Linked DNA regions of Mus musculus. The protein of the gene in region 1 interacts with the protein of each later gene in a pairwise test. Links are inferred from orthologs where the notes say so. Each region holds a gene or a part of one and is shown in the gene's direction. Other genes may lie near its edges.

The links.
Region 2: the proteins of Creb3 (region 1) and Emd interact in binary tests that used the Homo sapiens proteins (3 or more experiments, as listed by UniProt). The two-hybrid records come from large-scale screens. The link is inferred for Mus musculus from reciprocal best matches to the Homo sapiens genes CREB3 and EMD.
Region 3: the proteins of Creb3 (region 1) and Tmem51 interact in a two-hybrid assay, tested with the Homo sapiens proteins (2 studies listed by BioGRID and IntAct). The two-hybrid records come from large-scale screens. The link is inferred for Mus musculus from reciprocal best matches to the Homo sapiens genes CREB3 and TMEM51.
Region 4: the proteins of Creb3 (region 1) and Stx7 interact in a two-hybrid assay, tested with the Homo sapiens proteins (2 studies listed by BioGRID and IntAct). The two-hybrid records come from large-scale screens. The link is inferred for Mus musculus from reciprocal best matches to the Homo sapiens genes CREB3 and STX7.
Region 5: the proteins of Creb3 (region 1) and Lat interact in a two-hybrid assay, tested with the Homo sapiens proteins (2 studies listed by BioGRID and IntAct). The two-hybrid records come from large-scale screens. The link is inferred for Mus musculus from reciprocal best matches to the Homo sapiens genes CREB3 and LAT.
Region 6: the proteins of Creb3 (region 1) and Slc29a1 interact in a two-hybrid assay, tested with the Homo sapiens proteins (2 studies listed by BioGRID and IntAct). The two-hybrid records come from large-scale screens. The link is inferred for Mus musculus from reciprocal best matches to the Homo sapiens genes CREB3 and SLC29A1.
Region 7: the proteins of Creb3 (region 1) and Cacfd1 interact in a two-hybrid assay, tested with the Homo sapiens proteins (2 studies listed by BioGRID and IntAct). The two-hybrid records come from large-scale screens. The link is inferred for Mus musculus from reciprocal best matches to the Homo sapiens genes CREB3 and CACFD1.

The regions. Positions count from the first base shown.
Region 1 is NC_000070.6:43,561,197-43,565,457, forward strand, and holds the start of Creb3 (cyclic AMP-responsive element-binding protein 3), read left to right. Parts: upstream 1-1,461; 5' UTR 1,462-1,616; coding exon 1,617-1,763; intron 1,764-1,853; coding exon 1,854-2,010; intron 2,011-2,084; coding exon 2,085-2,155; intron 2,156-2,272; coding exon 2,273-2,362; intron 2,363-4,064; coding exon 4,065-4,171; intron 4,172-4,261. UniProt on the Homo sapiens protein: Endoplasmic reticulum (ER)-bound sequence-specific transcription factor that directly binds DNA and activates transcription. Plays a role in the unfolded protein response (UPR), promoting cell survival versus ER stress-induced apoptotic cell death.
Region 2 is NC_000086.7:74,253,237-74,257,486, forward strand, and holds the start of Emd (emerin), read left to right. Parts: upstream 1-1,450; 5' UTR 1,451-1,715; coding exon 1,716-1,797; intron 1,798-1,971; coding exon 1,972-2,079; intron 2,080-2,216; coding exon 2,217-2,294; intron 2,295-2,506; coding exon 2,507-2,640; intron 2,641-3,641; coding exon 3,642-3,688; intron 3,689-3,770; coding exon 3,771-4,101; 3' UTR 4,102-4,250. UniProt on the Homo sapiens protein: Stabilizes and promotes the formation of a nuclear actin cortical network. Stimulates actin polymerization in vitro by binding and stabilizing the pointed end of growing filaments. Inhibits beta-catenin activity by preventing its accumulation in the nucleus.
Region 3 is NC_000070.6:142,035,805-142,039,304, reverse strand, and holds part of Tmem51 (transmembrane protein 51), read left to right. Parts: intron 1-1,371; 5' UTR 1,372-1,559; coding exon 1,560-1,900; intron 1,901-3,500.
Region 4 is NC_000076.6:24,147,927-24,152,088, forward strand, and holds the start of Stx7 (syntaxin-7), read left to right. Parts: upstream 1-1,362; 5' UTR 1,363-1,482; exon of another isoform or gene 1,483-1,800; intron 1,801-4,162. UniProt on the Homo sapiens protein: May be involved in protein trafficking from the plasma membrane to the early endosome (EE) as well as in homotypic fusion of endocytic organelles. Mediates the endocytic trafficking from early endosomes to late endosomes and lysosomes.
Region 5 is NC_000073.6:126,363,327-126,366,568, reverse strand, and holds the end of Lat (linker for activation of T-cells family member 1 precursor), read left to right. Parts: intron 1-1,730; coding exon of another isoform or gene 1,731-1,807; exon of another isoform or gene 1,808-1,894; intron 1,895-1,947; coding exon 1,948-2,010; intron 2,011-2,108; coding exon 2,109-2,171; intron 2,172-2,268; coding exon 2,269-2,366; 3' UTR 2,367-2,373; intron 2,374-2,527; 3' UTR 2,528-2,742; downstream 2,743-3,242. UniProt on the Homo sapiens protein: Required for TCR (T-cell antigen receptor)- and pre-TCR-mediated signaling, both in mature T-cells and during their development.
Region 6 is NC_000083.6:45,592,731-45,596,779, reverse strand, and holds the start of Slc29a1 (equilibrative nucleoside transporter 1), read left to right. Parts: upstream 1-1,249; 5' UTR 1,250-1,298; intron 1,299-1,533; exon of another isoform or gene 1,534-1,597; intron 1,598-1,696; exon of another isoform or gene 1,697-2,969; intron 2,970-3,130; exon of another isoform or gene 3,131-3,224; intron 3,225-3,347; 5' UTR 3,348-3,448; intron 3,449-3,842; exon of another isoform or gene 3,843-4,049. UniProt on the Homo sapiens protein: Uniporter involved in the facilitative transport of nucleosides and nucleobases, and contributes to maintaining their cellular homeostasis. Functions as a Na(+)-independent transporter.
Region 7 is NC_000068.7:27,008,579-27,012,725, forward strand, and holds the start of Cacfd1 (calcium channel flower homolog), read left to right. Parts: upstream 1-1,347; 5' UTR 1,348-1,409; coding exon 1,410-1,527; intron 1,528-4,147. Other genes in the region: Adamts13 (A disintegrin and metalloproteinase with thrombospondin motifs 13 isoform 1 preproprotein), read left to right, coding at 1-139, 678-869. UniProt on the Homo sapiens protein: Transmembrane protein which mediates synaptic endocytosis and fitness-based cell culling.

The DNA.
Region 1 (4,261 bases):
TCTAGCACTTCTTTGGGTAAAAGAGGCCTCTGTAACTGCACAGGAATAAGAGAACTCACTACAAAACAAAGGTAGCTACTTCCTGCCAACTTCTTACATTTTACCAGCTCAGCTGTAGCTGCAGCCTCAACCCCTAACGCTATCACCAATTCCTAACATTAATGCTGACTTTATTTCCTATTTCCCTATACATTGACATTCACCCCTTTCCCAGAAGACACCCATACTAATCTGGCTTTTATTTTTAGGCCCAAATCCCCCAAATTTAACCCTAAATACTCCCTCCCACCCCACCCTGCAGTTCTAAAGCTCATTTGTAACTTGGTTCTTAATTAACCTTTTCACTGTTTATTCTTAATACTGACCATGACACCGGCCTTTAATCCCTAAAACGGGCATCTAAGCCAATTCCTGTTGATCCTTAACCCGATCCTGTACTCTGACTTAATGCTGGTCATTGCAGAAAATAATGACCTCAGTTTAAATGTCACATATGCGAAACAGACTTGACTCGTGCAGCAAATGTTTAGAATGTAGTTCACCTTCTTAACTTCTAAAGGGATCCTTGCTTCCTAAACGCGACGGCACCTAACCCAAACTCACCCCAAGTTTTCCTAACCACTTACTCACTATCGGCTAATACCAAAGCCCATCCCCGCCCAGTGCCTCACTGCCACCCAGTGCCTCACTGCCACCCCATTTCTACCCGTCCCCAAACCTAGCCGAGACAGAGAACTGTCTACCCCCGCGAAAGGGCCTGCTTCTCGCAACAAGGCCAGCTTAATTCCAAATCCAAACCGAAACATACTGGACCCTGACCTCCCTAACCAGACACAGGATATGCAGGAGGATTGGGGGCCCCGCCCGCCGCTTCCCGGGCTGGCCCGATCCCGCAGCCCCACCTAGAAGCTCGGCCCAGCCCGTCCGGCCTACCTGCGCTGCCCGGCTCTGCGCCCCGCCCTGGGCCCGCTACCCGCTCCTTCTCCCGGTCGCTTTTGGGGCTCCGGCCTCGCCCTCCCTTCGACACACTCTCGGCCACTTCCGTCCTGGAAACGTCCCCCACCCGCCGGCGGCGCCCTGGGCCCGCGCTCTATGGTAGCGGAGACTGCAGGAAGCTGCTCTGGCCGTAGTTCTCGATGCTCGGGCGCCCGCGAAGCCTGGCCGCCCCTCCCCAGCAGGAAGCGAGCGTGCAGAGCTCTGGAGAGAACGCCCGAACTAAGCTGGAGTTCCCTTTTAAACGCTTAAGTTTTTTTTTTTAATAGCTCGAGGCGAAGGCGGACAAGGATCCTCAGAATCCCCGCCCTGGGGCGTGGGAAGCTTGAAAGGACGTCCCCATAATTTGCATAGCCCCCGGGACGTGGCGCAGCCCAGGAGCCACTTCCGAGTTGGAGAGAACTCCAAGTCCCAGGATTCCACGGGGCTATGTGCACCACTTCCGTTGTGTTGGAAGCTGAGGAATACAGAAGCTGAGAGACGGGTGCGGTTTAGAGTGACAGCTAGGCCCTTGTCCCGGAGTGACGGAGGTTAAGTCGAGCCGACTGGACAGACTGAGGGGTCGTGCCTGAGGTTCGGAGGTTGGATCTGCGCGGAGGGATTTCTATCCATAGATATCCCAAATGGATCCTGGTGGTCAGGATCTGCTAGCTTTGGATCCCGGTGATCAGGACCTGCTGGGCTTCCTGCTAGAGGAAAGCGGAGATTTGTGGGCTGCGACTGAGCCGGACGTGAAGGCTCCGCTGGACTTAGAGCTGTCACCTTCCGAGGTGGGTGGGTGGGTGTTCCCAGTGGGGGAAGCTAGGGATGTCCGCGAGACCCAAGGTACGGAAATAAATCAAGGCCTTTGAATTTGATAGAACTCCGTGCAAGAACTGAGCGACTGGGAGGTAGAGGATTTACTGAGCTCTCTGCTCAGTCCCTCAGTATCGCGGGATGTTCTCGGCTCTTCCAGCTCTTCCATTCTCCATGATCACAACTACTCCCTTCCACAGGAGCACGTCTCCATAGATCTAGGTGAGTGTGAAATGATAAGTTGTGGGGGAGGAGAGAGCTCACTGGGCTAGCTGGTTCTACTTTCCCTTTTGCAGATACTGAGAGCTTCGAAAAGGAGGGGTTCCACGTGACTCCACTGCCAGGGGAGGAAAGAGCAGCGGAACAGGTGCTGGACTTGATTTTTTTTTTCAGGATTACCTCACTTTGCAGCAGCCAAGATCCCCCATACTGCTCTGAGAGCTCCATGCAACTCTGCTCTCTTCACTATTTCCTCCATCCTTAGGAGATGTCTAGGCTGATACTGACCGAGGAAGAGAAGAAGCTCTTGGAGAAGGAGGGGCTCACTCTGCCCTCAACCCTTCCTCTCACTAAGGTAAGGCTCCTGTTGGTAGAGCAAAGGCTGGAGGGGGTTGGTAACCCAAGTAGGCAAGCTCAGTTTGTTTCATATCAATCACTTGCAAAAGGACAAACCAACTCCTACAAGTTCTCTCATCTCCAAACACACACCCACGTCAAAAGATAATGTTTTAAATGTAACTTTAGTACAGAGCCTTGAAAGTGAAGGGCCTTGATAGCTTCCGTTGTTATCTTGGGACCTCGAATCATACTCAGTGGTAGAAATGCTTGAGAGGCTGACTCAGTCTAACAACATCAACAATCGTCAAAGCTGGACATGATGGTGCACCCCTCTATAACCCTAGCACTCTGGAGGCAGGAGCAGGAAGGTCTTCACAAGTTCAAAGTCACTTCCCACGTGCTGGGATTACAAGAATACTGCATCTAGTTTTTGTGGCAAATTTTTTTAATGTCATTTGCCTTTTTAATATTGTCTTACTTCTGATATGTAGATATTTACTTATTTGGGGCAGGTGGATCAGCATTAACGGACAGACTTAGCTTCATGTTGAGTTCAGGCAAGCTTGGGCTATGTGAGAAACCATCCCCTATCCCTCTATCACTATTACAAGATGAATGAGCAATATATTGGGAGGAAAGGAAACGGAACTTGGAAATTATCAATAGTGGTTCTGTCCCTAGGATAGTAACTGTCTTGTCTTCCTTTACACTGGCCAGAGCATGCCATAATTCCCCTACCCACTGGGATTGGAGTACAGTACCTCATGAATGTTCATCAATGCTCACTGCTGAGCCACGCCCTCTGGCCCTTGTTGTTAAGGCAGGGTCTTGTAAACCCAGGCTGGGCTGGCCTCAAACTATGTAGTAGGGAAAGAATGCCTTTGAATTCCTGATTCTCCTGCTTCTAACTCCCTCGGACTAGATTACAAGTGTATGATGTCACTCTTGGCTAGTGTCCAAGTTTGACAGGCATTATCAGAGAATGTAAGAGTTAACTTTATTCAGTTTTAGTTTCTGAAAGAAAAAAAGTTGAAAGTACCTTAAGATAAGGATATATTCTATATCACTTTAGAGACTCTAGGAAAATCAAATGAATGGAAATTATAAGAAGATTGATGTTGCTTTAGGATAAGGGTAGATGTTGTTGTTGTTAGTTTTGAGACATGGTCTTATGTAGCTCAGTCTGTCCTCAAAAACTACCCTAGCCAAGGATGGTCTTGAAATCCTGACTTCCTTCTTCTGCCTCCCAAGTGCTGATACTACAGGCATGTACAACCACACCTAGCTTAAGTGGAATTTTTAAAATTAATTAGAGACTGGAAAGATGATTCCGTGGTTTAGAGTACTTTCTGCTTTTCCATGGGGCATGAGTTCAAGTCCCAGCTCCCACATGGCAGCTTACAATCCGAGGAGATCTGACACCCTCTTCTAGCCTATGTGGGCACTAGGCACACCCATTATACATATACGTTATACAGACATGCAGGCAAAACACCCAAACACATAAAAAATAATAAAAAGTCTGGCTTTCTAGTGTTGAATATCTGCTCCTTGGTGTTCACACAGAAGGTAAATGCCTACTGACAGAGAGGCTGTGGAGAGTATTTGATTGGGAAGAAGGTTAGCTGTCTTCCAACATACCTATGTAGTATATATAGGTATAACATACAGGCATATAATAACATACTGTGGGTGACCTTTCCCCCATCTTCTCTTAGGTGGAGGAACAAGTTCTGAAACGAGTGCGGAGGAAGATTCGTAACAAGAGAGCAGCTCAAGAAAGCCGCAAGAAGAAGAAGGTGTATGTCGTGGGGCTGGAGAGCAGGTAAGCAAGGATGGACACGGGGGAAGCCTGGAGGGTCTTGAAGGGAGGAGACACAATATTTTGAAATCCACGTGTCCTCACATCCATGTT
Region 2 (4,250 bases), on another chromosome or scaffold:
AGTGGCCTGTGAACTTCACTAAAGTGTCATCAGGTCAACCTAGAACTGAGCAAAGTACTCACTATCACTATCACTTAAGACAACCTGTGGGTTACAACCCCTCTGGCAAACCTTGTCTCCAAAAATATTTACATTATGACTCATAAAGTAGCAAAAATTACCATTATAAAGTAGCAACAAAAATATTTTGTGATTGGGAATCACCACAACAGCATTAGGAAGGTTGAGAAGCACTGATTTAAGAGATCAGGCATCCTACACACTTTTTCTACGCGTACCCCTTCTTCTAGATCTCTCCAATAAAGGGCAGCCTACCTAGATCCACATGACTTTGTGTAGAATATAATGGTCATGGTCACTCTTCAAGGCAACCTTTCTCTGATCCAGATCCTTAGTAAGCCTCCATCAATTCCCATGGTTTGCCTCTAGGCCAGCAGTTCAGAACCTCTGGGGTCGCTATCCCTTTGGATCTCACATATCAGATATCCTGCATAACAAATATTTATATTTTAATTTATAGCAATATTGAAATTACATTTATGAAGTACAACACAATAATTTTATGGGTGGGGAGTCACCACAACATGAGGAACTGTATTAAAGGATTGCAGCATTAAGGAGGTTGAGAAATAGTGCTCTAGGCTTTGTACACTTGTCTAGGTCTCTAAGGTCACACCAAGCTTAGAGACTATTCTACTCAGCCAGAGAAGACCTCTCCCCCCAGAATTCCTCAGGGCCCAAGGTAGAACAGTGAGTATGGCAGGTACAAGGTGTACAGATCTACATGCATCACAGGGCAGGCAGGCAGGCAGGCAGGCAGGCGCCCTCTGATTGTGTGCATTGGCATACCCTGGACCTTTGGAAAGCTGCTTGATCCTGTAGTGCTGGTGGCCACTTGGCCCAGTGCTGGCCCCATTTCCTCGCGAATGGAACTAGGCATTAGAGAAGACGACGGTGGGAATGGGCCTGTGCAGGTGTGCAGGCCAGGGTCATGGAGACTGGGAAGACCAAAGGAGATGGGTAGGGAGTGCCAGGGCTCTGTGGGTGTCTATGTTAGGTGATGAGAGCCCTGTCTGACAGCATACAAAGAGCTCTCAGCAGCGTTAGGCGCTCTGGAAGGGTTCGCTCTCAGGATTGCTTTACACTGCTGTGGATCACACTGTGGCTGAGAATCCTAGGCACTGGAACACCGGGGGAATAAAATCAGGAATGAAGCCAGTAACAAAAGTATGTGAGATCTCACAGGTTGGGAAATCTCACAAGCCGGTTTTGGTCAAATCACTTGCCTCATCCCTAGTAAGTTGCGCTCTAAAGCATCCTCTAGTGAGGTCAGCCAGCTCCGCCCCTCGGCGGCCTAGCTCTCAAAGGAAGTCTCAACCGCTGCCGCACGAGTTCTGAAAGCTCCGCCTTCTCCCTGTTCGAGCCAATCTCTCACAAGCGTTACGTTTCTGTTTGCCAGCCCAGCCTGTTCCCTCAGCTAGACCGGTCTGCACCGGCCGTTCTGGCTAGTTTGGGCCTGCCCTGAGGAGCGCGCGCAACCTGCGTAGCCGCGGCTGTGACGCAAATGTGACGGCGGCGTGACGCGCCCACAGCCGCTCTTGAGGCTCTGGCGCTTCTTCTTCTAGGCTCCGAGCGGTTGGTTTCTTGGGCCCTGTCTGTAGGCCCCGGCCGCCCCTGGCGTTCAACACCGCTTCCAGGTGCCGGCCTTGTCTGCCATGGACGACTATGCGGTTTTGTCCGATACTGAGCTGGCCGCAGTGCTACGCCAGTACAACATCCCTCATGGGCCTATTGTGGGTATGCTGCACCCGGTGGCGCTCAGAACCTCTCTTGGTCCACTGCTTTCCCGCGCTCCTCCCTGAGCGTTCTCCCCACCTCTCCCTCCCCTCAAGTCCCCTCCCCGTGTTCCCTTGTGCTCTTGGGGTGCTCGGCTCACGCCCTCTGACCGCTTCGCACCCTGTGTCTGGGCAGGTTCCACTCGCAAGCTCTACGAAAAGAAAATCTTCGAGTACGAGACCCAGAGAAGGAGACTCTTACCCCCCAACTCGTCATCTTCTTCATTCTCCTATCAGTTCTCAGGTGAGCCCTTAACTGCAGAGCCCCAAAGAGCAGCTTGGGGCACACGTCTTAGGGAGGGAGGGTGTGGCCGAAGCTATTGAGGGAGTAGGGGGAAGGCTGGAGATCGAATGGTCCTGTCCCTCCTCCTTCACATGCAGACTTGGATTCAGCCGCCGTGGACTCAGACATGTATGATCTGCCCAAAAAAGAAGACGCCTTACTTTACCAGAGCAAGGGTAAGGCAGGTATAGGGTGGGCACTGATGTTTTTATCCCATGCTTCCGGGATTTGGGCACAGGGAAACCCCAGACCTCCCTCACCTCCTTGTACCAGTTCTCAGTGGCTTCAGAGGGGAGAAACTGACACAGCACACACAGGCTGGGGAGGGAGAAGAGGAGGCCAGTTAAGGGGCACCACTTTTTCCTCTACCACTGTTTTCCTCCCCAAGACTATAATGATGACTACTATGAGGAGAGTTATTTGACCACCAAGACATACGGGGAGCCTGAGTCTGTGGGCATGTCCAAGAGCTTCCGCCAGCCGGGGACCTCACTTGTAGATGCTGATACCTTCCATCACCAGGTGAGTTGGCTGGTAGGTATACCTGGGGTGCAGCCTTAGGGAATTCTAGGTTTGGATAGGTGCAGAGAGTGGATCTTAGGCTTTCAAATCTGGTTAGGGTCAGCATACAGCTGTCGGGTTAAAAATTCTATGTTGGAACCTTCAAAACTATTGGATTTGGGGATGCTCAGCAGAAGAGTATTTACCTATGGTTTCATCTCCAGCAGCACATAACAAATGTTTTGGGGTTTTGGCTTTTTTAAAAGATTTAATTACTTTAATTATACATATGTGTGGCCAATTTTTGTTAGTTTGTGGGTATTTCCCCCCCCCCACTTCACCCCCAGTAATGAAAAATTCCCAGAATTCCAAATATCACACAATTGTAGAAACTATCTGAAACTCACAGAAACACACCTTTGCTAAAAGCATGAGGCAACTCATAGTTAGCTGCTGTGAAGCAGCCCCATATTCCACACCTAAGATTAAAACAAAAACATATTCTTACAATATTTCTGTGTTTCTTAAAAAAGCCAAAATTCCAGAATTCTCACATACATGTCTGTGGGTAGTATGCATGAGTGCTGGCACCTACAGAGGTGAGAATTGTCATATTCCCACTAGAGCTAGAGCTACAGGTAGTTGTAAACTGCCTGATGTGTGTGCTGGAAATTGACCTCAGGTACCTAGGAAGAATAATATGTGCTCTTAACCAGTGAACCACCTCTTCAGCCCACAAACTTTTTTGATCAGAGAATATGTAACAGCTCCTGCACTCTAGTAATTAATCTACGATATAGATTTAAGCCTCCTGAGAATCCAGGGGAATAAAAGGATGCTGGAACAAAGTCAACAGGGTTAGTAACTGAGCAGCAAGGCCCCACAGATAAAGAGGCTCCACATACTCAGAATGGGGGAGGGGGGGGCAATTTTCTGGTCCCTATGATATGATTAGAGCAGGCTAGCCAGAGACATTTAAGGAAAACCATTCTTCCCCATTTCTAATCCTAATTATTCTGCAGGTGCGTGATGACATTTTCTCTTCTTTAGAAGAGGAAGGCAAGGATAGGTGAGTAGTGAACATATGTAGGGACAGGGACAAATTCGAGTCTCAGACTCTCCTGCCTACCTGTTGCCTTCTTTTGCCACAGGGAGCGCCTCATCTATGGCCAAGACAGTGCCTACCAGAGCATCGCACACTACCGCCCCATTTCCAATGTCTCCAGGAGCTCTCTGGGCTTATCATATTATCCTACATCCTCCACCTCTTCTGTGTCCTCCTCTTCATCTTCTCCCTCTTCATGGCTTACCCGACGTGCCATTCGGCCAGAGAAGCAGGCCCCTGCTGCTGCTCTGGGCCAGGATCGACAGGTCCCACTCTGGGGCCAGCTGTTACTCTTCCTGGTCTTTGCTGCCTTTCTGCTCTTTGTTTACTATTCCATACAAGCTGAAGAAGGCAACCCCTTCTGGATGGATCCCTAAGGGTATTGGTTTTAGAGCAGCTCTTACCAGGAGTTTTGGCTGATTGCCTTATCGGTGTTTGCTGGGGGTGGGGAGGGTAGGGGCTTTTTTGTGTGTTCTAGTTGGGTGCAAGGTCTAGCCTAAGGCAATGCTTGTCTCCCACCTCATCC
Region 3 (3,500 bases), about 98 Mb from region 1:
CATTCCCTCATTTCTTGTCATTCTTTGTCTCTGCTTCCTGCGCGTCCCCTTCCTTCCTTCACCCAGGCATCTGCAGTGTCTCCCGTGCAACCTGCAGGTAGCCAGATGCACCAGAAACACTTACTGGGTGGAAGAAAGGGAAGGCGAGGCCTTCAAGCTGAGAGAGGATGTTGTCCCAGATATTTTTAGAGTGATTTTTAACAAAGCGGAGCGTTTCAGATGAAAGTTTAACGAGAAAACATCTCCGCAGCATCATGTTTCAGGCTCCCTGATCAGCTGGGCTTTCAGAAAGGTTGGAAAGAATGCAGGATTGAAAACAAGGCCTGTCCATCTAAGGTCAACCGGGCGATCCTGCTCGGCAATGTTGCCTGCCCACCCTCTGACTGAAAGCTGGGCAGACTGGGGCCTTGCCATCTCCTCCTCCATGATCTCCAAATATATCCTAAACTACAGCCTCGATGCCTTGCCTCTAGGCTCCTTCAGTCACCGAGGGCTCTGGAATCCCAGCTCCCATGAGTCTTTGAGCAGCTTCACCGGAAAAGTGATTTGGTTGTTTGGGTTGGTTTGGGGTTCTCCTGGACACAGAAGATGAGGAGTGTGAAGACTTCTGCCTCCTTTACGAAGTCGGGGAGACAGGGCTAGGGCAACGCTTTTCTTTCTGAGCTGCCTCACGGTCTCCGTCCATGTCACTGGACGTGAGCACACACACACACTCAATTGAGACGTTTGCCCTGTGGAGGGCTGAGACAAGCAAGGGGCCACTGGAAGACAGGCCCGCCCAAGTAGCTAGTGGAGCATACCCGAATACCCAGAAAGAGGGTGGTCTGATAACTGCAGGGGTACTTGGAGGGGATATGCAGACCAAGGTAGTGAGACCACGTGACCAAGGAGGGCACGCTCATCATTCTAAGAAAAGGGAAGTTTTTCCCCCTCCAAGACAATAAATCAGGAGCCAGCGAGGGTAGTATACTGAGCCCAGCAGGCTAACTGGATAGGACTCATCGTTAACTCTTGCACCCCGAACCTCCTCCCCCACCCCAGGTGACTGGGGTGTGACTGACCCTGGCCCAAGCATGCCATCTCTCGCTCTGCTCTTCCACATCTCTCCCATGAGGGCTGAGAGCAGACCACACTTCATTAAACCTCACAGCATGTTGCAGCTGCTCTGAGCACTGGCCTCACTGCTGGCCTCCTGCAGGGACAGCTCTGGTTTTCCCTTCTGGCACAGGGGTGGTGGTTGGAACATCTGGAATGTATTAGAGGTGAGGCCAGGGTGGAGGCTGGTGGCCCAGCCCTGCCTGGTAGGTACCTCCTTCACAGAGAATCTCCCCAAGACAGAGCTGATAATCTCTCATTCCCTCTCCTCTTCAGATCTCTCGTCTGCTCCATCCACCCGGGATACCTGGCATTTGAAGAGAGCCATCGCTTGAGAGTCTACGGATGACTTTCCGCTGTGACACAGGAGAGTCTCTTTGCTGCATGGACACAGTGTCTATTGGCACTACTGCTTTCTGATTTATTTTCTCTCTTTGAGCCGGGTCTTGCCCCGCTCCGCTGTCATGATGGCCCAATCCAAAGCCAACGGCTCACACTACGCACTGACGGCCATCGGCCTGGGGATGCTGGTCCTCGGGGTCATCATGGCCATGTGGAACCTGGTTCCTGGTTTCAGCCCTGCGGATAAGCCAACGTCTCAGGGCAACAAGACAGAGGGAGGTGGTGGCATCCTCAAGAGCAAGACGTTTTCAGTGGCGTACGTGCTGGTCGGGGCTGGCATGATGCTGCTGCTGCTAGCCATCTGCCTGAGCATCCGGGACAAAAGGAGGATGCGGCAGAGTGAGGAGCTGGCTCGAATTCAGCAGCAGGCAGGAACCGTGCCCCACTCCCAAGAAGAAGACAGGTAAGACCCAAGTGGCCGCTCCCTCCATACTTGTACACAGAGTCATGGAGAGAGTACTTTGCTCCACGAGTCTGTATTTCCACTCTCCTCATATCATTTTTACAAATACCCTTGTGCTTACTAGATGCAGGCTTCCCAAATCCCGTGGCTAAGATGGATTATCAGATGTAGCACAGAAACTGGTGGGGCCGAGGGTCATGGGGCTCTAGGTTTCTTGTTTGTCTCTCTGTCCCAGGTGCTATCTACTTTGTAGATACAAAGTATCTACTTTGATTTTAAAAGGTCAAGGCACAAAATTTCGCTTAGCCCAAAATATCAGGAATGTATTTAAATGATAGATAGTAGATAGAGGCATATATCATAAGAGTTGGCGTCTCCCTTACGGTTCATTTCATTGCTGTGATGAAAGCACTCTGACAAACGCAACTTAGGGGAGAAAGGATTTATTTAGCTCACAATTGCAGGTCAGGGTCTGTCATTTTGGGGGGAGTCAAGAAGGCAGAGCCCCCACTGTCAAGAACAGAGAGTGATGAGTTAATGTATACAGACAGCCCTGCACTCGGCTCTGTGCCTCCTTTTCATCCAGTCATGAAGTGCTGCCACCCATATTCAGTTCCCACCTCCACTGACATAGTCAAGACCACGCCCTGCACACCCAGACGCAGGCGTTCTCAGAGGCCTGTCTCTCGAGTGACGCTAAATCAGTGGATCTCCATCCCTTCTGCAAATCTCTATCTTCAAAAGTACTTATATTACAATTCATAACAGCAGCAAAATTACAGTTATGGGAATAATTTTATAGCTGGGGAACCATATTAAACATGGGGAGCTGTATTAAGGGGTCGCAGCATGAGGAAGGTTGAGACCCACTGCTCTAGCGTGTGTCAAGCGGACAAGCATAGGCAGTCAGCACAGCATCTGACCCTAGATGTTCTTCTCATTGCTCTGACCAAATACGCAGAGTCGGCTTAAGGATGGAAGGGTTTATTCCGTCTCTCAGTTTGAGGCTGGGGTCATTATGGATGGGGAGGCGTGGCCACAGGAGCCTGGGGTAGCAGCTGGTTACATCATGTGGGAACTCAGGAAGCAGAGAGGGATGGATGCTGGTGTTCAGGTCCCTGTCTTCTTTTCCCGCTTCATTCAGACCAAGCCCATAAATGATGTTGTCCACATTTAAGTCAGAGTGGATCTATTCTACTCCGTTAACCCTCTCTGAGAACACGCCTGTCCTCCACCTGCCTGGCTTTGGACTCAATGGGGCCACAGGGAATGAACACATGACAACCACAAGGAAATCTGGGATTGAGTGGGTCATGCACACTCCAATGGAGAGGGACCAGCAACAGTCAGGAAACTCACCACATTAGGGGGTCTCTGTGGGTGAGTAGCCTTAGGCTGCAGTCATGGGGCTGAAACTGCACCCAGTACTTTCTGCTCCTACTGGTCGACCCTAGACCAGGAAGAAGGCCTTGCCATCCCTGAGTCTGGGACATTGGCTTTTTTTTTTTGGTTTTTCGAGACAGGGTTTCTCTGTGTAGCCCTGGCTGTCCTGGAACTCACTCTGTGGACCAGGCTGGTCTCAAACTCAGAAATTTGCCTG
Region 4 (4,162 bases), on another chromosome or scaffold:
GAACCAGATTTTCTAAAAGGGACTCTGTAGCTTTAACAGCTAACATGACTTTCTATTAGAGGTTATTGCCTTGTCAAAGAATGATTTTTAAAAATAAAACAATTTTGAAAAAGGGAGAGATTTCAAAGAAAAACTTGAATTTCCTCTGTATCTTGGAAAACATACAATGTCACTATGATGGACTAATACTTCTAAAAGTTCACAGTGGAGATGATAGGTAGAACTCAGGGGTAGATCAACTACCTGAAATGTGAGGCCTTGGGTTTGATCCCTCATTCCTCAAAACAAAACCACAAACAACCCGGGACAATGATACAGGTCTGTACTCTGAACGATGAGGCAGGTTGCAAGTTCAAGGTCTACCTGGATTACAGAGTGAGTTCAAGGTTAATATCTGGGTAACCTGTGTAGACTTTGTTTCAAAAACAACAACAACAACAACAAAAACCACTGGAGATAGAGGACAGAGTGAAGGCCTCTCATGTCCAAGGACCTTGGTTCAATTTCCAGTGCTGGACAAAACAGCAAACCTCAACAGTTCACCATGGCCCGAGCTGAATCACATGACTTTAAATGAGTACATGTTCTTTGATCCACTGGGTGGATCCTACTGAGAAGACGCTGTGTTTGAGTCTGACCTAAGTCATCTACGTATGCTTGCAGGTGTAAAACCAACCAACATACAGTTTGCTCTGTGGTTCTGATTCACAATAGTATGGATTCCCCCTACCTCCACTTGAAGTCTATCGAACTTTTGGTATCATGTGTTTTCATGCTCTTTCCAGAAATAACACCATCTTAATTATAGGCAAATCCAAGGCAATCTATTCTAATTAATTTGGCAAAGTATTTCTTTCACATGAACAACTGATGTTTCTCATCCGAGAGGTCACATGCTTGAAGAGTTATTGTTGGAACAGTGTGTGCTCTTAAAGCCTGGGAAAACCACATCCTGTATTTCAAGGATGCGATACCAACTATGAGCCAGGAAAACATCTTTATCAAGTGGGCATTAGGAGATTATCTTTCATTTATCCTTCCGGGGCTTTAGCTAGGATTGCCTTGACATTTTTGCAGTGACATTTTAAAAATGGAGTTGTCAAGTCTACCACAGAGCTGAGGGTTAGGAAACAGAACCTTTAAAAGCTGAGAGTGCTCCCTCAGTCCAGGGAGTCTGGCGCCTCCGAATAAAGAACCCAGCTCTTCTCTATTGTATTGCTTCCTCTTCTGTTGCCCATAGACATCACTTTGTCACCCATCAGAGCTTGGCTCCCCAGCAATTTTGCCAGTCCCTCCAAGCTTCAGCTGTCACTGGCCAATGGGAGAGACGCAAGCCCCGCCTCCTCCTTCCTGGGGCTGTGCCCCGAGCATGCGCAGTGGGCGTGCTTGTGCCGCCGCCCATCAGCTGAGACCGGCTGCGCCAGGCAGTGGGCCCCCGGGTGACAGCGGCTGGAGGTGGCCGAGGAAGCCGGCGAGGTCAGGGTAAGAGGAGACTGCAGAGGCGGGGGAGAGGGGGGCGGGAGGGACACCTCAGAACTGCAGCTCGCTAGTGGTTGCTTTGGGGTGCGCAGAGCGGGGCTCCCCAGGGCGCAGGGCCGGCGCCTCCCTCTCGGGCTCCCACGCCCCGCTCCGGACTCCGGGACGCGACGTGCGAGCACCGGGGCGCGCGGCAATGGAGCCTTGGGGACCGGATACTACCGCCAGATCCTGGCAGGCTACGACCGTGTTCCCATTCTCTGTCAACTTCTCCTCCGAAGAACAGAAAGGGAAACGCGATGGGCCCTGGTCATCTGGCCACAGGTTCGTTCCGCGGCCCAGGGCCTTTGCTTGGCTGTTGGCCTTACTCACACAAGCTAACTTTCTTTGACCTACCTTGTGCTCGTTTCAATTGATTTATGCAAGACACATAACAAGGTAACAAGGTATTTCGAGAATTCGCATATGTGTTTTCTAGGTTAAATTCAGACCAAAAAAAAAAAAAAAGCTTGGACGAGGGTGGGAAGAGGAAGGAAGCTTTACAGTCAAATGCTAATTTTTCCTTATAGCTGTTAAAATTTTGCTTGCATTTTATATGCATATATCAATTTTTGATTGCGTCAGATCTCGTATTTTGTCAGGAATTATTATTTACAAGTTTTCCACAATCAGGAAAATAAAAGGAATTAACTGTGAAACACTGGTTTGGTCCTGTTGGAGGTAGGCATTTCTTTTAGGTGTACTCTGAGCCGCAGTGAACAGAGATTGATAACACTGTTAAATTGTGCCTTGTGGTGCCGATGGGTCTTCGGCTTTGCAAGCTGCTTTCGAAGTTGGCCCCCAGGCTTGTGACTAGTTAAGAACGAGGCTGTAGTTTCCCAGTGTCTGGGGAAGTTAATAGAACACAGTATTAACTCACTGACCTCTGGGTTCTTTTCCTTCAGCTAGCTCACTTCTTATGCTGCTCCTGATTAACAGTCGTTTCTAATTCTGATTATTATCCCAAGTTCATCCATACGCTGCTGGTGGAAAATTATGAATAATTATGTTGAGCTATATGCCACTAAATGGTGTGTGCACAAGGCCCTGGTTCAGTCCCCAGTACTGCAGGGAAATATTACCTCTATGTCTACTAGTACTGCTAGATAAAACTCCCACAGTTAAGTCTGTGTGGATTTTTCTCTGGTTCAGTGTAACTTGAAATATTAATGTGTGAAACTGTGGAGGAAAAAAAATCTTGGTTAATTAAGCTGAAACCAAACAGTGTAGCGTTTGGATTGATGAAGGAGCTGGGCAAAGATGCACTTGTGGACCGAATACTCATATGGAAGATTGAGCACCCTCATGATTGATTGTCTCCTATGATTCCTCTCCTGTTTGTTTTAGGAATTGAAAACAAAGAGTGTGAATGCTCCCATCTTCTAAGTATGATGCATCGCTTGAAGTAGAAGTTACATTGATAGAGACTTCTCATTTCAGACCTGGCATCTTTAGTGTGTGATAACACCTTACTGAGACAAAGAGCTAGTCCTCAAAGGGGCTGGGTGTGTATCATGGAAAGGGCCATCTACAGATAGAAAGGGACACTGAGAAAAGCCCAGGTAGCAATAAGCCTGAAACAGTATTTTAGAAATGTTTATATTTACTCTTAGGCTGGGCATGTGTTCATAGGAAATCGGTACACTTGTTCATTCAGACTTACAACATTTATTCAGGATCTACTTTGTAGCCAAGTACTTAGAGAATAGACTAAGTCCAAGATTTACACTCCCCCACACACCACACATACACACACACACAAACACACACATACACACAGCACACACACACACCATACACACACTCCACACGTACACACCACACCCCACACACACATATACACCACACACGCAATACACTGCACACACATACCACACACACTCACACACCATACACACACATCATACACACCACACACACACACACACACACACACACACACACACACACACACAAAAATTAAAACCTGGGGAACAAAGGAGGAAACTCATATTTTATGCTGGGCTTCATGATTAAGAAAGTGAAACTGACCATTTGATTTGAGCAGGCTAAATTTTAAGCCAGTGTCTGCTCAGAGGAAGTCTTCAAGATTCTACAGTATGTCCATTAGTAACTACAGGGTAGTGTTTTACATTCAAGACTCTGTATCAAAATCCCCTTTGTTCATTTTTAAATTGCCCTTTCCACACAGTCTTGAGACAGCGCTCACTATAGGTGTTACTGTTTGACTCTCCCGTCTCCTCTTTCACCTTAGTGTTTATCTTCATAAAAAGATAATTACTGAGCTGTTGAGTTGAACCCTGCCCAGTAGTACTTTCTGTGGGGGATGAAGGGAATATGTGAGCTGTCCCAGCTGCTGGCCACTGGCCACATACAGTTTCTTAGCACTTGAAAGGTGGCCGAGGTGGCCTTCTTCTACCTTAGTTCATTTTGATAGTTGTGTGCAGGCAGTGCAGGTGCACATGAGGAGTGATGTAATTATTTTGAGCAAAGACACTAGGACACAAATGCTTTGAGTATTGCAGCTCAAGCTAGGCAATGCAGATGGTTATAGAGTACAAACATTTTATAAGCATAGAGTTAATTAGCTCACATGTAAAAACAGACTTCAGAGCCATTTGTCAATAACTGTCTATAAACATAAGTG
Region 5 (3,242 bases), on another chromosome or scaffold:
TTAAACGTGTAGGTTACCATGCTCGGTCTTTAAGGTAGTTCTATGCAAATTTTAATTAATCTTTTGTATGAAATAGAAGTTTCATGAAATTTTCCATTTGTGGTATCGCACCAGTATGAAAAGGTTTTGGATTTCGGAATATGATGAATTTTGGAGTTTTAAAAGGAACACCCAACCTTCTGTATTTACCCTAGACTATTATGTCTGTACTCTGGCTCTGTTTTGTTTGAGAGAGAATCTCACTGTAGAGTCCTGGCTGCCCTGGAACTCACTTTGTAGATTAGTATGGCCTTTAACTCCAGTTGCCTCTGGCTTCTGAGTTCTGGGATTATATGGGGTTAAAGACGTATCCCTCTTGTTCCACTTGGTTTTTGTTGTTGGTGGTTTGTTTATTTAGCTTTTTTTTTTTCAGTTTTTCTCCCTCAATACAGCTTTTCTCTATGTATCCTTGGCTGTCCTAGACCTCACTCTGTAGACCAGGCTGTCCTTGAACTCAGAAATCTGCCTGCCTCTACCTCCTGAGTGCTGGGATTAAAGGCACGTGCCACCACCACCTGGCTCTCTTGCTCCATTTGTAACCCACTGACTATACAATGAGTCCCCATGTCAATAAAACCAAGACAAAACAAAAACCTAGCTTCAGACTGCGTATATATGATTTATATAAACCATGCATGACTTAATTCCGTGTAATTTGTCATTTCTCTCCTGAACCCCAGACTGTTTGAGTGATCCCTTCCTTCCATCCGTCCTGGTCTCTCGCTCCTCATTTCCTGGTTATGTCTGCTGACTTTTGCTAGGGATTTAGGGAGCCAATGCAGCAAACTTGTAATGGTAAAAGGATCATTGCTAGGGGCAAAATGACTCATTTTAATTTCAGTGAGAGACTCTGTCTCAAAGAACTATGGTGGAATGGCTAAAGCCTCCATGTGCTCCTGAGTGTGTGCAGTGGCATAACACACAGAGAGGTACTAAGAGAACTACTGTTAACTGAGGAGCAACTCTATGCCCTCGTGGTGTGTACAGCTCATTAGACCTCACAGTTCGTGGGTGCTCTGCTGACCGTACCCTCTTCCCCTCCTGTCCCTCACATCTCTCTCTGTACTGTCTCTCTGTATGGTATGCTAGAGTTTATTTATTTACTTAAATTGATACAGTCTTGCTGTTGTGATGTCCAGTCTGTCTTGAGCTCAAGTTAGCGCCTGCCTCCCGTCTTCTGAGACCACAGCCTGGCTCAAGGTTGCTAGTAATTGGAACAACGGTAGCACATAGTGTATTGCAGGCTCTGTTTTACAATTTATTGTTTATTCCTCACTCTAGTCCTTCCAGGCAGGTCCTGTTATGAACCTCATTCTACAGACTAGGAAACTGGGGCAGGGAGCATTTAGGTGACTTATCTGAGGTTAGATAGTTGCTTAGTGCTGGGACTGAGGTTTGAGCCAGTGTATTTGGCTCAGCTTGTCCACATGCCCATACAGAAACCAGGCAACCATGAAACCAGAAAGCAAAAAGCTGTGTAGCATTGTGAGTGACCTTTGTGGGCCCAGGAAGGTGAGGGCAAGAGCTGATAACATTGAGAGACCAACAGGTCTGAGAAGAGGGGATGCCAACTAGACCAAGTGTGCCACTTCTTCACAGATCACCAAGGTCTCTGCACTCTGAGCTCCTTGGAGCCCTGCTCTCCAGCCTCACTGCCTGAGTCCTGTATTGTCTCTGTTCCATTCCCCCAGAGGCTCTGGTCCTGGCTCTCCATCCACCTCCATGGCCCTTGCCCTGCCCAGGCTTCTTCTCCCCTCGCTTTTCCTGAATATTCTCTCTATATTGTGAGTCTGCCTGGGGGTTGTGTTAGGAGACTTAGATGTCTGAGCCGGGGGTGGGAGGTGTCTCTGGGGAACAGTGCCTGGCTGAGTGTCTGCTAATAACTGTACTGCAATGGCTATTCTACAGTGGAGTCGTGTGAAGATTACGTGAATGTTCCTGAGAGTGAGGAGAGCGCAGAGGCGTCTCTGGGTAGGTGACTCTGCACTCCATGCATGGCCCATAGCCTCTCCCTACCCTCTGCATGGCCTGCCCTTCACACCACTGTCCCTGCTGGTCTGTCCCCACAGATGGGAGCCGGGAGTATGTGAATGTGTCCCCAGAGCAGCAGCCAGTGACCAGGGCTGAGCTGGGTGAGTACCAAGGTGTAAGGGGGCAGAGGCTGGGGAGCAGCCTTGAGTAGAGAGTCTGTAGGCTGAACGGCAGTCTCCCTCTGTTTTTCCCTCTCAGCCTCTGTGAACTCCCAGGAGGTGGAAGACGAAGGAGAAGAGGAAGGGGTGGATGGAGAGGAAGCTCCTGACTATGAGAATCTGCAGGAGCTTAACTGAAAGCCTAGTGAGTGGTCTCTGTCCCCGCCCCCACCTTGGGCCTTCTCTCCAGGACCCCCCTCCTGCCTATCCCCAGTGGTTAGGCACATTCTTTGTGGCTCTGGATACCCGGGTGGCTTCATGACTGTCCTCCCTGTCTCCCCTGCCCTGCTGTGTTTCAGCTGCAGCTGTCTGTCCTGAAACTGGACTTGCTGGGGTGTCGCTAAGAGGATCCCATTTGACCTCTGCCTTGCCACAGCCTGAGAATCTTCCCCTAACTTATTGTCACTTTGGGGTCCAGTCTGTGTCCCCAATATTCTGTACCTTCTGATAAAGCCTGAGAATGAATCTGGTTCCAGCCAGACCATGTCATGGAATAAAGGCCATGTGACATAAAGTCGTCGTTGTCTTCTTTTTGTTGTTGCTGGTGTTGTTGGTTTGTTTGTTTGTTTAACTGGGACAGGGTCTTGCTATGTTGATCAGGCTGGTCTTGAACCTGTGGGTGATCATCCTGCCTCTGTCTTCCTCGTGCTAGGATTACAGGTGCATACTATAATGTATAGCTTTCAACAGCTCTGTGGGTTTTGGGGTCCTGGAAAGCTGGGTGGTAGTAACCATGGGTTGAGGACAACTTTTTCTTTGTGGGATGTTTGTTAAATGTGTGTATAGTATACATGACCTTTGGATCTAGGTGTGTGTGTGTGTGTGTGTGTGTGTGTGTGTGTGTGTGTGTGTGTACATACAAGTCTGCAGTCAGAGCATCCAGATGGCTGTCTTTCTGTCTGTGGGTCTCCCTCCTCTACAGGGGTCCTACCAACCTCTCGACAGTCTTGGTTAAGGACTGTAAGTGACAACAGACAACGACTTGGACACAGCCATGTTCTGAATGAGGCCTAT
Region 6 (4,049 bases), on another chromosome or scaffold:
CTTAGTGCTAGTGGGGAGATGTGTCATCTCTGTGGGAGCAGGAAGGCTGTATACGCCCCCACCAGAGCAGCTTGAGAGAACCCACTGTCCTACAGAGTCAGCTACCTCCTAAGGGCTCAGTCGTCCTCTGGGGAGACTGAGTGCGTCTTTTCCCTACGATGTTAGCACTGGTAATTGTTAATTAGCTCCAATGGTTTCTCTGGAGCACAGGTTCCTTAGGGAGGTGGGGTGAGACAGGCAATCTGGATGGGATGTTCTTGCCTCAGGACCCTCCCCAACTTCTGGGATACATCAGTAGGGAGTGCTACTGTAGGGGGTCCCTCCTCCTTTGTACCCCAGCGGGGGGGGGGGGGGGAAGGAAGGAAGGGGAGGGGTATGAATGGTAAGAGGCTCAGCAAGGCTTCTAGCCCCGAGGGTTATCTTGGGATGGGACATGGGACAGTGAAATGCTGGCTAGGACAAAGATGTGCAGGATGTGAGGCCTTTCTTCCTGGCTCCCCTTTCTCCGGTCTCCAGCTGTGTTTCAGTTTTCTTAGAGGCCTCAGGGCTGTCCTCTTATGCCTTCATAAAGGAGCCTTCAAGGCAACATGGGGATGGGGGGGGGAGAGATGCTGTTTGTGTGGTGTGCGGCGAGTCTGAGGGCAGGAGAGAGAAAACAAAACACCTCCAGCGTCTGGGTTCCAGAACGCTCAAATCTGAGGTATCCCAGAAAGTCTTCTTGAAGGGAAAAGGAGGAGTGGAAAGGAAAAAGGATGTATTAGAAGGGTGTGTGTGTGTGTGTGTGTGTGAGGGGGTTGCTAGCAGTAAAACGGTGGAGTGTGAATAATGGCGTGGGCGGGGTTCGGAGAGGGATAACGGAACACCTGAGGTGGAGCGTGGCTTGTGGGGGCGTCTGGACCTGGGTGAGCAGAGGGCCTGTCTGTGCAAGAGTCCCGCCGTGGAATGTGTAGGAGTTAGGAGCGCAGGGCCAGCGCGGAAATTAGGGGTACGCAGTGGGGGGCCCGTGCCCCCCTCCCAGGCTCGCGTGTCCGGGTGACAGTTGGGAAGGGTCCAAAGACGTGCTCCGCCATCGAAGCCAGCAGCCCTGGCGGCCCTAGGCGTAGGGTCTCTGACTGGGAGCCGGTGAACTGTTGAGGGGGCGGCGAGGAGCCTGGGGGCGGGGCTGTCGCCGGGAGGAGGTGGCTCCCACGGGCCCGGGGCGGACCCAGCAGAGGGCGGGTTTGAAAGCGCTCGGGCGGGCGCGGGAAGCGCTGGCCAAGCGCGCAGATTTCGTCGCCGGAGGTGTCCTTCTCCAGCAGGTGCTCGTAGGGCTTGGGTGGGACATGTTGGGGACTCCGGGGTAGAGAGTGGAGTGTCCGGCTTGCCAGGAGGGAAAAGGAGGCCCGGTCTGCCAGCTCCGAGGCCGCGACAGGGACTTTGGGGTGCGGCCCCCACGCGGCGCGTGCAGAGCAGCGCCAGCACGTGGCGCGCATGGGCCTGGCTCTGGGTAGGGGGACTCTCCTTTTGTGGGGACCAGGGCGGAGCTGGGCCCAAGACAGCCTGGCTTCTGGGCCTGGAAGCGACTGTCGCTGTGTTGACTTCCGCAGAGGATCGGCGTGTGGGTAGTTCAATGCTACAGTCCTGTGTGAACTAGAGGGAGGGGTTGTGTTGCCTTCTGCCCCGAGGCAGGAGGATGGGGAATGCGGGAATACAAATGGACGTGAAGGGAGCTAGCTGGCCATTTACAGACTAAACTCCTGTTCCTGGCCTCCCTTTCCTGGGCGAGTCCTCATTTACTCTACGCGGAGAGTGAACGTGTGACAAGATAAAGGACTGACGCGCACACCCAGGCTTCCTTTGGATGAAGGCTCTCTCCACCCCTGCACCTTATACCCCATTCGGGTCCTCTTGCCAAGCCTGAGCCAACCCCCTCTTCTCCATTAACCCTCCTTCCGTCCTGTTCCTCTTGTCCTGCTTGTGTGACCTTTGCATACAATAATATATGCGTGGTGGAATGGTTGTGAGTTGTCATGACTCTGAAACTAATGTTATGTGAAAGAATGGCCTGAATCTCCCACTTGTTTTAACCCTTTAATTGGAGCACTGTTGCCTTCCTGGAAGCCTACACGAATAGCTGAGGAGCCTTGTTAATTTTGCCTTCCCCACTTGAGAAGGAATCTAGAATGATCGGTACATTGAGTATTGATGCTGTCACCCCCATTCACCAGCTCTGCGGGCTTTCTCAAGTGATGGAGCCTCTTTAAACCTCAATCGCCCTAACTGTTTAGTAGAAACGGGGCAGCTGGAAGAGGGGCATCCTCAGATTTCAAGAGAAGATTCCGATGTAGCAGAAACTAGGCTGAGAAACTGAGCTATGTGAGAGGACCCTTAGGACGCAGGAAGGCCTCAGATGGGCGATAGCTTTCAGGGCCTCTCCATCTCGGCAGGTCAAGGCATGGCTGAAATGATACCAGAGGCCCTGAACTGCTATCAGATCTCTACTGGGACAAAAGTAAAGAAAGCCCCTAAGCAGCAAATGGAATGTTTGGATGTGGGTGGAACCCGAGAGGTGGGAATTTCTGCAAGGGGAGAAGTGATGTGTGTGTGTGTGTGTGTGTGTGTGTGTGTGTGTGTGTGTGTGTATATGTATGTGTATACTTGTCCAAGCCTAAGCCAGTTTTATGATGGAAGAGTTAGCCTCCCTCTGGCTTGTGGCTGTATTCACTTTTGCTGGTGCATGGGAGAGGTGTGGGGTGCTCGGTGGAGAATTAGCTATGTTTTGATGGGGTCCCTTCCCTACTATCTAATAGAAACCTGAGTCCTCAGGCTCCCCGCAGCCGCAGCAGAACCCTCTTGTCCTAGATAAATAGCAGTGCTACTGTTTGCTGCTGCTCTGTCCCCAGTGCCTAGGAGGATGCCTGGCGGACCCACAGAGACCCTCAGCAAATAGTCCTTAACCAACAGCAGGAGCCTTCTGCCTCCTTCTGGAGGTGTGTGGCTTTGCTGTCCAGTACTGAGGGATTTGGCCCGTCTGGGTTTCACCCACAGCAGAATAGAAAAGCGGCTATAGGGCCTCAGGGTGACCAGCTGTGACGCCTGTCTGGGTGGGCGGGGACTGAAGTTCTAGCTGCACCTGAGAGCTGACCTGGCTGCCACAGGCTTAGATCCCCTGCTGAGCCGGTTGCTTGGGCTGCTGTCTTATCTCCCAGCTACAGGGTGGCCCTTTATCTCTCCCAGCTTCGCTGGTACTTTTAGCTTCTGCAGCTTCTTAGCTTGTGAGACCCCCGCTGAATGGGGGCCCCTTGAGGCCTGAGGGATTCTCTCCCGATAAGCCTTGGCCAACTTTTCCACTCTGGACCCTCACCTAGGACCCAACCTCCTGCCTGAGCCTGAGCCAGGACCCCTTCCTGGGGAACGCCCAGGTACCTTTGGCTCTCACCGTCCTGCCAACATCGAGTCTATAAATTTGGTGAGTGATGAGATGGGGATCTAGAGCAGCTTGCCCTAGACAAAGAAATAGCAGTCTGATGGGTGGGGTGTCCCTTGAATATGCTTCTTCCTTACAGGACTAGCCCACTGGTGCTGTTATCTCCTCTTTGAGAGTGAGGCACAGGGCAGCATGTCAAGGGTTTGGTTAGGAGCTCTGGGAGCACGATGCTAGCTTTCCAAATTTCCCTTCAAAGCCACTGTCAGACACGGGAAGAGGATAGTTAGTGGCCTTGGACTGAGAAAGGAACTGGGGGTGGGGGGGGGAAGAAAGGAACATTCTGGAACTGGAGGTCAAGGAAAGGAACTTGCTGTGGAGAAGTCTGTGTCCCTCCCACAGTTATGAAATATATTCCTGGAGAACTCAGGAAGCCCCTAGGCAGCAGCTGGAAAGGCGTAGAGGCTGGCTCCAGCAGAGGCTGGCTCCAGCAGAGGCTGGCTCCAGCAGAGGCTGGAGGGAGTCCCGATTACTCTAGGAAGCAGTCTGCGAAGGGAAGGCCCTCCCTGCCACAGTCTTGATTGGGTGATGGGGTGGGGGCACCCAGGAGGGGAGAGTGCAGGCTCATGGCAGGCCTCAGGAGACC
Region 7 (4,147 bases), on another chromosome or scaffold:
CTCACTGAGCCCAGACGGGAGGAAGGCAGGGACCTGCAGGGTCTTCATCAGTGTGGCTCCACAGGCCCGCATTGCCATCCGCGCCCTGGCCAGTGATATGGGCACTGCTTCTGAGGGGACCAATGCCAACTATGTCTCGGTGAGGCCACGAGGATGGGGACAAAAAGGGGGTAATCTTTTGATACGATTCTGGAGAGCTGTCTCTAGGAAGGAGGGAGGGAGTGTTGGCATTAGGGAACACTTTTAGCTTATTTTTCATCCAAAACTTCAAAATTATTGGAAAGAATGGGAAGGAGGGTTTCTGCCACTCACTCACTCACCAGGGAATGCTTGTGGCTCTACCCACAAGAAGGAAGAGAGAAGGCCTTCCCTGGGAGTCCATTGCCTGTTGACCCAGCGTGGAAGCATCGTGTTTGTGTCTGGTGTTTTGTTTGTTTTCAGAAGAGCATAGGTAGGGTTGCGATTCAGTATGCTCTACAAGGCACCAGAGCACCTCAGACTTAGTCTTGAGCAGGATCCTAGCTCTTGTACCTGGTTGTGTGTTCTGGGGAGTTTCTTGGGTAGAACCGAGTGTCCCTCATGTGGGCTCCTTTAAGAAACAAAAATGACTCTGAGTAGCCAGGAGTTTATAAATAATGATCACTCATGGCCTGTTCTGGCTACTTGCTTCTCCACAGATCAGGGACATCCACAGTCTGAGGACCACAACATTTTGGGGGCAGCAGGTGCTCTACTGGGAGTCCGAAGGCAGCGAGGCTGAACTGGAGTTTAGCCCTGGCTTCCTGGAGGCACATGCCAGTCTCCAGGGCGAGTATTGGACCATCTCACCTAGGACATCGGAACAGGACGACAGCCTGGCTCTGTCCTAGGTTTCTCTCCAACAGCCGGGGAGTATGCAACTTTAGCCTCTTTAGAAGTTCTAATGCCTGCTAGCCTTAGGGAACCTCTTTTAGTGACCTTTTCCAGGTGCAGAAGGGCTGGGACTGGGAGGTGGAGATCAGAAAAACAGTCCCAGCCCCCAGTGGTTAATAAAGGATACAGGATACCAGACTGGAGTTTTCCTCCCATAACCTGCCGCCCATTACAAGCCTAGCTCGAAAGCTCATTCTACTGCAAGGCGGAGTTCCTTGGAGGTCTGAACAAGGCCTTTGCCACTTCTGGATGACGTCTTCCAATCTTGCAAAGAGGAAAGGCCAGACCGGATCCAGCGCACCTGCTGGGTGGCAAAGGGCGTCTGACAGTCTGTAAACACGCCCCTTATGCTATACTCCATTTCCTCCCGCCCTCCCCCCGCCCCCCGGCTATGGCCTGCGGGCCCGCCCCTATGCTAATCACCACCTCTCCCACAAGGCCGCGCGCGGGTGGACACGTCTCTTTGTGCGCGCCTGGGGCTGCGCGCAGCGTTTAGCATGAGCGGCTCGGGCGCCGCCGGAGCGGCCGCGGGCCCAGCCCCGCCGGCACAGGAAGAGGGCATGACTTGGTGGTACCGCTGGCTGTGCCGCCTGGCGGGAGTGCTAGGAGCGGTGTGTGAGTATCGGGTCCAGGGAGCGGGCGTCCCCGGGGTTGCCATGGCTCCCGGCCTCAGGCCTGCAGTCCACCGCCGGAACTCGATGGCTTACTGCCCAGTTGTTGCGGCCCTGATCAGAGGAAATGAGACTCACAGAGGACGCGCGTCTGCCCCTTCCCGGCCCTGCCTCGGCCTGGTGATGCTTACCTGGGCTGGGGTGGGACTGCCAAGTTCCCAGCCTTTGGACAAAACTTGTTCATAAATGGGGGGCAGCTCTCCACAGGCTGGGAAGTTTGCTTGGGGGTCAGATGGTGCCAGGAGAAGAGTGGCCCCTCAGGGTGGCTGGGCAGTGATCGGAGTTCTCCTCGGGTTCCTACTGTCCACACTCTCCTAATGCTTCTCGTCGGCCTAGTATCCTCCACACCAGCAAGCTTTCTCTGCTCTTGTAAAGAGGAAGGCAGGTCCGCCTCTTCAGTGCAGCTATGTTGCTGGCCTTCCAAACAGTGTGTTTGCTAAATCCTGGGTGTCCCTTTCATTGTGAATTCCTAGAAGTCCAGGTGAGTGCTGGGAAGGCCCGAGGATCCATTGCCTACCTGGTACCAGAGCAGGAACTGTGTGGGTAGGGGAAGACTCATCCGTTTTCCTGTCTGGAGGAATACCTTGGAGCCCCATCTGTCCAGACGATCTTGCTAGTCAGATGGATAGGGTAGAGTTAGGTATGTGCTGCCCTGGTAAGGCAGCTCTGGAAGAAGTCTGCTGAGGTTGATCAAATCCTCTTCAGTGCAGTTAGCTAGTTCAAGGTGGTATTAAGGGGTGAGGGACAAGGAAGGGCCTGACCATGACCTGTAGGCGGCTATCCTCCCTCCGTCATGGTGATTCAGTCAGTGACCAGGTGATTTCTAGATTAGATTGACTTTGGAAATCCCACCCAGTCCCATACTTCCTGTGGGTACCTGTGCTACTCCCGAAGGCCTCCCTAATCCTCCTGCCGAGCCAAGCTATCAGTGAAACCTTACTGGAGACCTGTGGCCGTAGCTTAAATTGTTCCCTGAACCTGATCATTGGGATCAGGGGGGTGGACATCAAGGTTTTGAATACTGGCATATCATAGGAGGGAAGGATATCGTGTATTTGCTTTAAAAACTCAATAGGGGTTTGGCAGGAGCTATGGCTTAGCCGGTCACTTTGACATAGGGCTATCCTCTCTTGGAATGGAGGATATTCTAAGGGGCTTATTATTTATTGGAGGGATTTATTCTGGTCCCAAAGACCTCTGTAGACAGAGGAAGAAAGGATTATAGGGACATCTCCTTTATATGGAAGACATGAGCATTATTAGCACCCCAAGTGAGTGGATGTATTTGAGTCCTTGGTTGTCAAAGGACTCCTGTTCGTCTGAGTTGCGACCTGGTCCTCCCAAAGGTGGCTCTGTAGGACAGCATGGTGGAGTAGCTCTGTAGATGGAATGCTGAGGACAGGAGTGCAGGCCTTTCAGGTGAGACCAGGCCTAGCTCCACACAGGCAGGGGGCCGACAGTCTTTCACTTCTGTGGCCCTGGAAGCTTTGCTGCGTGAATGAGTGCTGCGTTGAGTTCTTTATTAGAGGAGACTTTGTGACATAGAAGCTGTGCCACTCATTTGGTCCATTCTCCTGCATCAGTTCCCATTTGGATAATGTAACACAGGAAAGTGGAAAATGGTGGAATTCCAGGCCCAGTGGAGGGATCCGGTGACCCAGGCCTGCTGCAAGTTTAATAAGTTGGTGCTAATTGCAGCCTCAGAGGGCCAACACTCTGCCCTCCCTTAGCTTGTGTCCTGCCAGAATGGGCAGCTCTCAGCAATGTCCTCAGAGGCTCCCAGAGTTCCTGGTGAGGGACTTCTTGGTGAAGCCTGGGTGGCTGGGGCAGACTGTAACCTGAAGGTGCAGTCAGAGGGGAGGGGCCTCGCTGGGCTTCCACACTGGAGAAGAGCACACACACTGTCCCCTCTTGGTGTCCTGCTATTCAGGTATTGGGGCACAACCTGCTCATGTGTAGGAGAGAAAAATGAATTAGGAAAGCAACATGTTCAGGGTCACGTGGCTAATGTTTTAGATGGGATTGTCATTTGAATCTTCCCTGGTGTATCATAAGAGGCATCCCTGTCCTGACCCAAATTCAAGATGTGGCCAGACGTAGTGAAACATGCTTGGAAGTCCCCAGGAGGCTGAGAGAGAGAGAGCAAGATAGTTTGAGGTCAGCTTGAGCTATAGAGCAGGACTCTGCCTCAAAGGAAAACCAAACCAAACACCCTCACCAAGCAAGCATAAAGAACAACCCCAAATAAGTCGGAGTGGCCTTTACCAAGTTAGAAGACATTTTTGAGTAGTTTACCTGGTGGCTGCAGACTGATAGGCTAAGATTCCCACTGAAGTCGGAACAGGCCTGACTTTTTAATTTTTTAATTTTTATTTTTTAAAGATTTATTTATTTTATATATGTGAGTACACTGTCTTCAGGCACGCCAGAAGAGGGCATCAGAACCCATCATAGTGGTTGTGAGCCACCATGTGGTTGCTGGGAATTGAACTTAGGACCTCTGGAAGAGCAGTCAGTGCTCTTAAACCTCTGAGCCATCTCTCCAGCCCCCCAGGCCCTACTAC